Cricetulus griseus: one gene and its partners. The protein of the gene in region 3 binds, or shares a complex with, the protein of the main gene of each other region. Links are inferred from orthologs where the notes say so. Each region holds a gene or a part of one and is shown on either strand. Other genes may lie near its edges. The genes, in order: protein shisa-6, Htr2c and Dlg4.

Region 1 (4,175 bases), about 3.4 Mb from region 3:
CACACTTGGAAGGAAGAGGTCTAGGTGATATGCCATCTTGCCAGTTACCCAGAGCTGAAAAAGACTTTCCCTGATGTGCTCAAGGTTACTCTTGAGTGTCCTTAAGTGTCACTCATCACTGTGAATGTCACTCATCTCTCATCTCCAGCTCATCCTTCCCACCCACTACACTTCCAGTGATAGGCATTGTCCCCTACCCACCCAGTACCAGTGTGATGGTTTCCAAAGCACTGATCAGGCAAGGCTGCAGCTGCTGGAGAGGTGCTGTGAACTGAATGAAATCAGGAGGTGAATTTGAGGGAGAGACATCACCTATTTACATAATGGTCTGGGGCCTGAAATTCAGTTCTTTCCCCACTGTTCACTCTCTCCTTCTCCCACTCCAGAAACGGCCCCAACAGTGCCACCATGGTTACCCCAATGTTGGACAGAGGCAGTCTGTGGGGAAAAAGAGATTAATATCAAGAACAGTGGCTTCCCCGAGCAACATGACAATGTTGGTTTCCAAGGGGACTCAATCTCAGACTCTGAGGCCACAACCTTATCAAACACAGGTGATGTTGAACAAACTGCACAAGGCACTGGGAGCAGGACAGGGAGAACCCCCAAGAAAGGTTTGTGAGAATCAACTAGAAAGAGGTTAAGAGCCAGGGTGGGTTTGATGAGGCAAGAGGAGATGAGCCCCTGAGTCCTGGGTCAGAGGTGATAGATGAGGAACAACAGATCATCTGCTTCAAAAAGGCACCTGCCCCTGAGCAATTCCTTCTTTGAGTTCCAAGCTGAGCCAAGAGAGAATTCACTGTCAAATCAAATGAACCCCTTGGAAGTGGTAGCATCTTGTTCTTATCTTGCTCATGGTGCCCATCATCTGCATAGTGAGGCATGGAGACCACAGGCCATTGCTCATATTCCTAGCTCAAGTCCATGGGGATGCTGAGTAAGCCTATGCCGAGAGCAGCTAAAGAAGAGTGGCTAGCTCGGGGAATGAGGGGTTAAAAGGGGATGCTCCCTCTATAGTCAACCGAAGTCTAGTAGTTGAGTGTGAAATGCCTGTATTTAGTGGATTTGAGTCAATAAAACCTGACAGGGAATATCATCTTCTCACACCCACATTATTGAGGGGGAGGGCAGACTGAGCTCCTCCAGCATGCCTAGAAATTTCTACCTGCCTTCCTCTTTTCAGCAAGGTAGGAGTGATTAATGTTCAGAGCAGTGAAGGGAGGAGGTTTTCAAGCCATGAGGATAATAAGCAAGGTGTATGAGCCAGGCAAGGCTTGGTGGGTCAACTCACAAGCAGTAGACTGGGGGCTGGGCCTGGGAACTAGGGCAGTGCCCACTCTGTGTGCCAGAAATGGAAGTGTTTCCTGGGGCTGGGCTTTCATTGAAGCCAACCATTCATCTTCATGGGGACACTGGACTCATCATAGCTGACTTCGCATCCTCTGCCTGTACAATTCCTAAAGGAGAGACTGGGTTCCTGTTGTGGCTTTGACTTTCCAGTGATCTCCCTGGGAGGCAGAGACAGGGGTGGGAGGCAATTGGAGTGGAACTGTGGAGTGTCATGTTTTAAACTCCTGTTATAAATTTTGAAAGGGGACAGTCCCCACTGTCTTTATCATGTGTGCAGTAAAAGATGCCCGACTGGGCTGAACACCATCCAAAGTGTTAACTCAGAGAGGCCTGCCTTGGAGGACCAAGTCCTCTAGCCTTAGCAGGAAAGATAAGCACTCCATTGGGAGACATATATACCATCTGCCATTGATCAACACGACATGGGGATCCTTCTTCCCAGGAGAGCCAGCTACCCTTTCCATATCATCCCGCTCTTAATCCCTGGGAACATCTAGGCTTACAGTCACGCACATGATCTTCCTTTCAGTGAGGTGCTCACACTGCTCGGTTCTTTATATTAAGGTGGCACTCCAGCTCAAACAAACAAACAAAGACCTAAGCGTGGTACAACCCATAGTAAAGTGGCCACACACCATGAAAAGGAGAGCCCGGAGATTGGAAAATTGGTTAAATTCTTATCCTTGAACACCACGAACTCCATTGATTCAGACTTTTGTCTTGCAAATCCCTCTCAAGCTAGAGCATGCCTAGCAGCTTCCTACGGAATGCGGGAGAGCCACAAGATTTATTGCTCTTAGAGGAAGCGACTCTGGAAGTGACTTAGAAGAATAGAAGAGGTGTGCATGAAGAGGACTAGGGGTGGTGTGTGTTAAGAGGGGGTGAGGCCTGGGGACCCGAGGCAGGCACCCAGCATCGCCTCTCACCTGTGGATGTTCATCTCTCGCGGCGGGCGGTGGGCCTTGTCATAGGAGACCTTGGCGAAGACGCCCGCTACGATGACGAAGGCGATCACCCCGCAGGTGATGTAGACGGTGAAGTTGGTCTTGTCCTTCTCCGGGTCGTACTTGTTCTCGGGCCCCGGCGACACCACCTTGGTGCTGGGCGTCTGCACCCATACTGGGCTTTGGTAGTTGGTACACTGGCGCTGGTCCAGCTTCTCGTGGCGCTTCTTGCAGCAGAAGCGGTAGTAGCAGGTGCCGCAGCAGTACAGGTAGCCGCTCTCGCTATTGTTACACTCGAACTCCTTGTCGTACTGGCCGCTCACGTCGTAGTAGCCCCAGCACGTCTCATAAGTGACGGTCGCGCTGGCCGCCGCTGCCGCCGCGCTGCGCGGACTGTCCCGCCGGCTGCCCGCCTCCGGGACGCCGGACGCCCGGGCGGTGCTGTTCAGCTCGCGGCCGCCGCGGGCTAGGGCGCCTCCGGAACGCCGACCCCCGACGGCTCCGCGCCTAGGGTCGGTTAGCGGCGCGGCGCGCGGCGGCGGCTGCGCCGGGCGCAGGTGCAGGGACGAGAGCGACAGCAGCAGCGACAGCAGCAGAGGGCGGTAGCAGGAGGCGCGCAGCGCCATGGCGGGGCCGGGCGGGAGGGCGCGGGCGGGACGCGGGCTGCAGGCCGCTGCCCCAGCGGCTGGCGGGACTCCGAGGGCGGCCGCGCGGGCTGGCTGGGCGAGCGACGCGGGCCGGTCAGCGGCGGGGCGATGGCGCCATCGAGGCGCGGGTGGCGGCGGGAGCGCACGGAGCAGCGGGGCGCAGGCTGCGCGGGGCTCTCAGGCTGCGCGCCGGCTCCGCGCTCCCCCTGCGGGTTCCGCGCGCCTGGCGGACAGCCCATCCCCGCCCGCGGCAGCGGCGGCCCCCGCGCGGCTCAGTTCAGGCCGGCCCCGAAGCGCAGTTTCCGGAGGTGGCGGCGGCGGCGCGGCGTGGTCCCGTCCGGGCAGGTCCTGCGGGACGAAACGGGGCAGCGGTCACGGGGTGCAGGGAGCGGCGGGTAGCCGAGCGGGGAAGGAGTGCGCAGCCCTCGAGGAGTGCGTCCTGGCTGGGACGGTGGCCCGAGGGTGCACGGAGAGCCCGTGCGGTGCAGCCTGCTGAGGCTGGGGTCCGAAGGGCAGTCGGGGAGCGCGGCGGCTACACCTCAGTCACTCACCGTGCCCAGCTGCGACTGCAGCGGCGGCTAGGCGGGAGCGCAGCGGCCGGAGCGAGCGAGCGAACGAACCAGCGAGCCGAGCGGATCCGGGAGCCGCCTGCACTAGTGCCGGAGCGTGTGCGATAGGCGAGAGGGAGACACACGCACTCACACAGCAGCACACGCGGGAGCGCCGCGCGGGGAGGGCGGGGAGGGAGGCCAGCCGCTCGCCGCCGCCCACGTTTCCACGCCTGGGCGCCCGGGTGGGGGACGGCAGGACTCCTCTTTGCCTCTTCCCCCCTCTCTCGAAGCTCGGCATTACCAAAGCCCGAACCAACACCGTGCACTGAGCTGGCAGAAAGGGAGCTCCCCCTGCTACCCACTTCTAATACCCCAAAGCAAGACCAGAGTGAGCTCTCTGGAGCCGGCCGGTGGTAGGGTCAGATGTCCTCTGACATTGCCCTTCCAGCCCTCCTGGTCAAGTACCACCCGCCCCCCTCCCCTTACCTTAGCCTGGTCTTTGCGCTGCTAGACAGCAAGTTGGGGTTTCTGCAAGCCTCTGCCTCTCCCTAGTGGTGATGCTCGTAGGCAAGATAAAAGGTCAAACCCATTGCTACAGGTTCCTACACTGAGGCCAGGGGTCAAGTGGCTCTTGGGCCACCAAGTGCCCTGAACCTAGGTTCTTTTCTCCTTCATCTCGCATG
Region 2 (3,491 bases), on a different chromosome or scaffold from region 3:
TAAACACCCCTTTCTCTTAGCCTGATGACCCATGTTCAGTTCTGGAAAATCGCTGTCTTAACATAGGCATTCTATGGCATGCAGGACACAAACACAGAGAGGGGGAAACAATTGGCCTCATAGACTCAAATACATCATAGTTGTCATTGCCCCAGCCCCCTATTGTCTCTTGACTTGGCTTTCCTTAGATTCCTTAGGAAGGAGAAAAATCTGTTAACCTAAGTTCACAGTTCTCCAGAGCTGGGCTCTGAAAGATGCTAATGTGCACCGATCTTGTAGCCAGTGTACGATGCCTTGCTAGGCACTTCAGGTGACTCTCAGAAGGTCTCAAAGATTACACAAGCATTTCAGTGACAAGTTGGAGCTTCATGTCCAGGTATTCTTTATAGCCATGCCTGTAGAAGGATAACAAACTTCTCAGAGGAGTCTCCAGCCTCAAGATCTCGCCCCTGAAGTTCTGGGCAGCAGATGAGGCAGGGACTGGAGAGGGACTACTTTACTTGCACCCTCTGATGCTCTTACTAAAAGCTTCTGGGAAGATGTACAAATTTTCTTTCAGATTTTTCTCATAAAATGACCTTCTTCCCTGGGACCATAGCAAAGACCTGAGTGTTTCTACCCAAGCCCAAATTTTTGTTTGAAAAAGTGTAGTTTAAAAGGTGTCTCCAACTTTATATACCCCTCACTACTTCCACCTCACACATACCAGAAATTCAATGTCTGAAGAAAATACTTAACATCTTCCAAACACTCCCTTTCTTATCTTCCAAGAGATTAAATACTAATCAATGTTATTTGTGTTTTTCTTTTTTGATCATTCAGTCTAATACATTGCAGCTGACAAGCAGTACTTATGTCAATTAGTATGGCCTTGAGGTATTAAGTTCCTCATAGTTCCTAATGTGCTCACCAGTTAACTACCATCTTTGAGGGAGCACTTATACTTCCTCTCCCGTTTTGCAATGCAGATATCCAGCAGCCCATAATGCCACTAGCCTATGATAGACTCTCACAGACACAATCTGAGTTTGCCAAGGCTTTAACTTCTTGATGCAGAGAGGAAAAATGAATATGAAAATTCCCTTGGCAAATTGTCCCTATGTGTTGAGGGAAGAATATCTTTATGGTCTACCATAGTGAGTTCTTACAGTTCTCAGAAGGTTTCAGCATAAGATCACAGTCTGCCCCTTGCCTTTCTGCTGATATTTCCTGCCCCGAATCCAATTTATTTTTAGGGCTGATCACTTGTCAATACCCATAGGAGTAAAAAAATTCTGTCTCTCTGTCTCTATCTGTCTCCCGCCTCTCCCTCCCCCTTCCTCCTTCGCTCCCACCATCCTCTTTCCCTTTCTTCCTCCTTCCCCACTGTAATACCTTGAAGATACATCGTCAGCCTCATTCTGTTTCTTGACCTTGAAACCATGTTGCTGATGCTCAAGCACACAAATACATACACATGTACACACACACACACACACACACACACACACACACACACACACACACACCCTTGCCAAAAAGAAAAATGAATTACTTGCTTCTGTTCACAGGTTAGTTTTTGCACAATGGTGAAATACAATCCATTCATCCCTCCCAGGCTATTGTAGATGGTGTACTACAATTGTTACTGCACTTGAGTAACAGTATACTAAAAAAAATCAATGACTGGACTTAATGATATTACTGAGGACAAATGTGAAGCTACTTCGTGGCTTAATAAATAGTTATTAAGCACTTTGCACGAGCCAGGACAGTTCTGGGCACTGCACATGGAACAAAATGGAATCAGAGCACTCCTAGACATAATCTCCAATAGTTTGTCTCAAACATGGAGATTCTACACTGCTACAGCAATTCATGGAAAGCCATCATCTTCTGTTGGAAGTTCTATGAGCTTCCTGGTATGCCGTGAATAGCTTTCAACAAACATCATGTCTAAATGCCTTTTGGTAAAATGCTAATGAATGACTGTGCTACTGTACAAACCTGCCCAATCATTACGCATGCTGTAACGACTTCTCACCTTTTTGTTTCCCTAGGTGTTTCAGTTCCTATCCCTGTGATTGGACTGAGGGACGAAAGCAAAGTGTTCGTGAACAACACCACCTGCGTGCTCAACGACCCGAACTTCGTTCTCATCGGGTCCTTCGTGGCATTCTTCATCCCGTTGACGATTATGGTGATCACCTACTTTCTAACGATTTACGTCCTACGCCGTCAAACTCTGATGCTACTTCGAGGCCACACCATAGAGGACCTGCCTAAAATCAGCCTGAACTTCCTGAAGTGCTGCTGCAAGAAGAACGCTGGTGATGAAGAGAACACTGAGAATCCCAATCCAGATCAGAAGCCGCGTCGAAAGAAGAAAGAAAAGCGTCCTCGAGGCACCATGCAAGCTATCAACAACGAGAAGAAAGCTTCCAAAGTCCTTGGCATTGTATTCTTTGTTTTTCTGATCATGTGGTGCCCGTTTTTCATCACTAATATCCTGTCTGTTCTTTGCGAGAAGTCCTGTAACCACAAGCTGATGGAGAAGCTTCTCAATGTGTTTGTTTGGATTGGCTATGTGTGTTCAGGCATCAATCCTCTGGTGTACACTCTCTTCAACAAAGTGTACCGAAGGGCTTTCTCTAAATATTTGCGCTGCGATTATAAGCCAGACAAAAAGCCTCCTATCCGACCAATTCCTAGGGTTGCTGCCACTGCTTTGTCTGGGAGGGAGCTCAATGTTAATGTTTATCGGCATACCAATGAACGTGTGGCTAAGAAAGCTAATGACCCTGAGCCTGGCATAGAGATGCAGGTGGAGAATTTAGAGCTGCCAGTCGATCCCTCCAATGTGGTCAGCGAGAGGATTAGTAGTGTGTAAGCAAGAGCAGCCTTCCTACAGGAAAGCTCTTGTAGGAAAGATTCCCCCCTTGATTTTCCCTATGGATCATAACTAATGTAAATACTGCTGTGTGACAAAACAGTGTTTTTATAAAATAGCTTTGCAAACCTGTACTTTAAAATCATGCGCTAACAGTGAGATTTGAAGTTCTATATTTACTGTTTATGATAGATGGAGACTAAGTTATTTTGATTCCTTGCTGAATAATAGTGTTTGTTTCTCTCTCCCGTCCTTCCTTATTCCATCCCCTCCTTGCTCCTTCTTTGCTTTCTTCCTCCCTATCTCTGTTTCGTTTGTGAATGTGGAAATGTTGATGTTCATCTCAGGTGGCATTTGCAGGAGACCAGAATGATGCACATGACTGTGGTGATACTTCAAACCACACCTAAATTGACAGATTCAGTGGCATCTTTTCCAGGTTAACAGTAAATATGTGCTTTAAATTCTCGCTCTGCTCATCTACACATATAAATACAGTAAGATAGGTTCTGCCCATTGTGAAAAAACATCCATCAGTGAGTCAGAGACAGAATTTAACTTTGTCGTCACACATCGGGGAAAATTTGACATTGTCAGAATGTTGTGTCAGTTTTTTGCTGCA
Region 3 (3,648 bases):
AGAAAGAAAGAAAGAAAGAAAGAAAGGAAGAAAGCTAGTACCTGGAAAGGGAGGGCTGGGCAGTAGGAAACTCCTGGCTTAGACCTGTATTATTGTTCCCAGGGTCAATGACAGCATCCTTTTTGTGAATGAAGTGGATGTTCGGGAGGTGACCCATTCAGCTGCGGTAGAGGCCCTCAAAGAAGCAGGTTCCATCGTTCGTCTCTATGTCATGCGCCGGAAACCCCCAGCTGAGAAGGTCATGGAGATCAAGCTCATCAAAGGGCCTAAAGGTAGTGGTAACCCCATGTTAGCTCCCCTCCCCTCCTCACCATCCTGCTTCTCCCTGCCTCCAAGGCTTGCTCCCTGGGCCAATAGGCAGCCACTTCTCCCCTCCCTGCCATCCAGGACTTGGCTTCAGCATCGCAGGGGGTGTAGGGAACCAGCACATCCCTGGAGATAATAGCATCTACGTAACAAAGATCATCGAAGGAGGTGCTGCCCACAAGGATGGCAGGTTGCAGATTGGAGACAAGATCCTGGCGGTGAGGCCCTGAACTGTGTTTCTAGTAGAGACTCGGGTCTTATTGCAGGCCTGGGTGCCTCACTGCCTGACCATTTCTGGCTCTGTCTGAGCTTTGCTTCCCTTGACCCAGGTCAACAGTGTGGGGCTAGAGGACGTCATGCACGAGGACGCCGTGGCAGCCCTGAAGAACACATATGATGTTGTCTACCTAAAGGTGGCCAAGCCCAGCAATGCCTACCTGAGTGACAGCTATGCTCCCCCAGACATCACAACCTGTGAGAGCCCTCCAAATCTCAAAGCTCCTCATGATGCATCCTAATAGTTCCTAAGACATGCAGTCCCACGACAGCCCCTGTGGCCTATTTCTATGAAATGGCCATGACCTCTGATCCTTGTGGTGGTTGGAGAGGAGATGGAAAATCAACTATGGAGAAGGACTAAAAACGATTGTTGAGATCCTCTTGTCCAAGGGACACAAGGCCCACTTGGTTTTGTGGTTCTGATCAAATCCTTAAGTAACAGATAATTCTCACATTCTTTAAAAATTTAGGAAAAGAACCAGGCATGATGGTGCCTGCCTTTAATCCCAGTACTCAGGAGGCCGAGGCAGGTGGATCTCTGTGAGTTTGAGGCCAGCCTGGTATACAGAGCAAGTACCAGGACAGCCAGGACTACACACAAAAGCCCTGTTTGGATGCCCCCAAACACAACACAACACAACACAACACACACACACACACACACACACACACACACAGAGAGAAAAGAACCAGGTGTGATGGGACATACCTGCTTTTCCAGTACTTGGGAAATAGAGGCAGGAGTGGCAGGAGTTCAAGGCTATCCTGGGCTGCATAGCAAGGTAGCAAGTTTGAGGTCAGCCTGGGATACTTGAAACTGAGAGAAAGGGAGAAAGACAAAGGCTTCGTATTGCATGTTATAAGAGCAGTTCACATGGTCACAAAGATAACACAGAAGGAACAGAGAGGGCAGCTGTATGCCCAAATAGAGAGGCCTAAGTTTAGAACACCACAGTGGGTGTCCACACAAAGCAGTGGGACATTAAGAGGCTAACATCACAGAATAAGGTTTGTTTCAGAAAACCATAGTTGGCTCAATATTAGGAACCTTTTTATTCAATATATTAAAACTGCCAGGTGGTGGTGGTGCACGCCTTTAATCCCAGCACTTGGGAGGCCGAGGCAGGCGGGCCTCAGTGAGTTTAAGGCCAGCCTGGTCTATATAGAGTGAGTTCCAGGATGGTCAAGGCTACACAGGGAAACCCTGTCTCAAAAAATAAAAACAACAAGTAGGAAAGATGGGGATGGTGGCCCACACCTATAATCCCAGCATTCTGGGGCCAGGAGCAGGAGGATTGGAAATTCTGGGGCATCCTGGGCTACATAGTGAGATGAGACCCTATGGAAGGAAAGAAAGTTAGAAAATCAAGGATAGATATGAAAATCCATTGATGATACTAAACATCTGTCCTCAAACCAACCTTTAGTAAACCCAGGAGTAGAGTTTGTGTGACCTGGGGAGTAGTTACTAGCAACCAGCAGCAGATGCTTCATATTAGTAAATCCCAGCGATGTGTCCACCCCTCTAGGAGTTAGACAAGGCTACCTCTTAACTGCTGTTCCTCTTCATCGCTTTCAGCAGTTTCTCCATGTTGTGCCGCTATTACTTATCAACGGGAAACTCAGTTCTGGAATTTCCAGTAATTAAGAAAGTCACTGGCTGGCCTCGGGAGGCAGAGGCAGAGGCAGGTGGATCTCTGTGAGTTCAATACCAGCCTGGTCTACAAGAGCTAGTTCCAGGACAGCCTCCAAAGCCACAGAGAAACCCTGTCTCGAAAAGAAAAAGAAAATCACTTATTTTATCTTGCAAAGTAAGAAAGAAAGAAAGAAAGAACTCCTCAGAGGGCTCCATTTCCTTCCTTGCTCTTTTAAAGACAGGGTCTTTATATGTAGCCCCAGCTATTCCTTATGGAGGCAAGGCTGGCTTTGAACTTGTGGTAATTCACTGGTCTCATCCTCCTCAATATTGGGGTTACAGATGTGTGTCACCATACTTGGCTTTAGAATTTTTATTTATAGGTATCTTTTTGTTGTTGTTTTTTCAAGACAAGTTACTCTGTAGACCAGGCTGGCTTTGAGCTCAGAGATCTCCTTGCCTCTGCCTCCTAAGTACTGGGATTAAAGATGGGTACCATCATGCCTGGCCCCATTATACTAAATCTTTTTTAAAAAATTAGAGGGGGAAATCAGTTTATTTATTCATTTGTGTGTATTTGTGTGAGTATGGGTATGCTGTGGTGTGTGTATGTGTAGGTCAAAGGACAACGTGTGGAAGCCTGTTCTCTCCTTCTACCATGTAGGTTCTGGGGTTTAAACACAGGGTATCAAACATAGCAAGTATCTTTACCTGTCCAGCTATCTCACCCCCCCCCCCCCCCCCCGTCTTTTTTGAGGCAAGGTGGTGCTGGGATTTCAGGCCTATGCTGCCATGTCCAGCCAAGCTTCTTTCCTTCCTTTCTCTTCCTCCTCTTTCTTCTTTTTTTTTTTCTTTGTGGTACTGGGGCTTTAACCTTAGCCCTTGAACATGCTAAGCAGCTGTCTGTAACAGCTATATCCTGCCCCAGCTATGCTACAAATTCTTGTTATTGTACATGTCGGGTCTTGAACTAGTACTGTTGCCTCAGCTAAGGAGTGCTGGGATTACAGGAGTGAAGCATTACACTTGGTGTGGTCACATTATTATTTTTCTTTTTCTTTTCTGTTTTGAAACAATCACTGTGTAGCCCTGGCTGGCTTGGACCTCACAGAGATCCACTTGCCTCTGCCTAAGGGCTGGAATTAAAGGTGTGAGCCACCATGTCTGGCTATATTCTTAACCACCCCCCCCAAATTTTTTCCTTTCCTTTTTTTTAAAAATTTTTTTTGTTTGTTTGTTTTTTGTTTTTTGAGACAAGGTTTCTTAGTGTAATAGCCCTGGCTGTCCTGGAACTCGCTCTGTAGATCAGGCTGGCCTCAAATGCAGCGATCTGCCTGCCTCTGCCTCCTGAGTGCTGGGAGTAAAGGCATGTGCTATTAACCTCTCATTTTTTAAAAAAATATTTTTTATTAATTTGTTTTTTTACA

The links.
Region 1: Dlg4 (region 3) and protein shisa-6 share a complex: the UniProt entries of both Homo sapiens proteins name them as parts of the postsynaptic hippocampal AMPA-type glutamate receptor (AMPAR) complex. The link is inferred for Cricetulus griseus from reciprocal best matches to the Homo sapiens genes DLG4 and SHISA6.
Region 2: the proteins of Dlg4 (region 3) and Htr2c are in contact, whole or in part, in an NMR structure (PDB 2MHO), measured with the Rattus norvegicus proteins. The link is inferred for Cricetulus griseus from reciprocal best matches to the Homo sapiens genes DLG4 and HTR2C. Residues at the interface, in NP_062567.1 of Rattus norvegicus: Gly74, Leu75, Phe77, Ser78, Ile79, Ala80, Asn85, Pro86, His87, Ile88, Thr97, Lys98, His130, Val134, Leu137, Lys138; in NP_036897.2 of Rattus norvegicus: Val452, Val453, Ser454, Glu455, Arg456, Ile457, Ser459, Val460.

Annotation. Positions count from the first base shown.
Region 1 is NC_048600.1:80,430,186-80,434,360, forward strand, and holds the start of protein shisa-6, read right to left. Parts: upstream 2,921-4,175; coding exon 2,277-2,920; intron 1-2,276. UniProt on the Homo sapiens protein: Involved in maintenance of high-frequency synaptic transmission at hippocampal CA3-CA1 synapses.
Region 2 is NC_048604.1:34,136,623-34,140,113, reverse strand, and holds the end of Htr2c (5-hydroxytryptamine receptor 2C), read left to right. Parts: intron 1-2,039; coding exon 2,040-2,869; downstream 2,870-3,491. UniProt on the Homo sapiens protein: G-protein coupled receptor for 5-hydroxytryptamine (serotonin).
Region 3 is NC_048600.1:83,879,048-83,882,695, forward strand, and holds part of Dlg4 (disks large homolog 4), read left to right. Parts: intron 1-102; coding exon 103-272; intron 273-387; coding exon 388-524; intron 525-635; coding exon 636-780; intron 781-3,648. UniProt on the Homo sapiens protein: Postsynaptic scaffolding protein that plays a critical role in synaptogenesis and synaptic plasticity by providing a platform for the postsynaptic clustering of crucial synaptic proteins.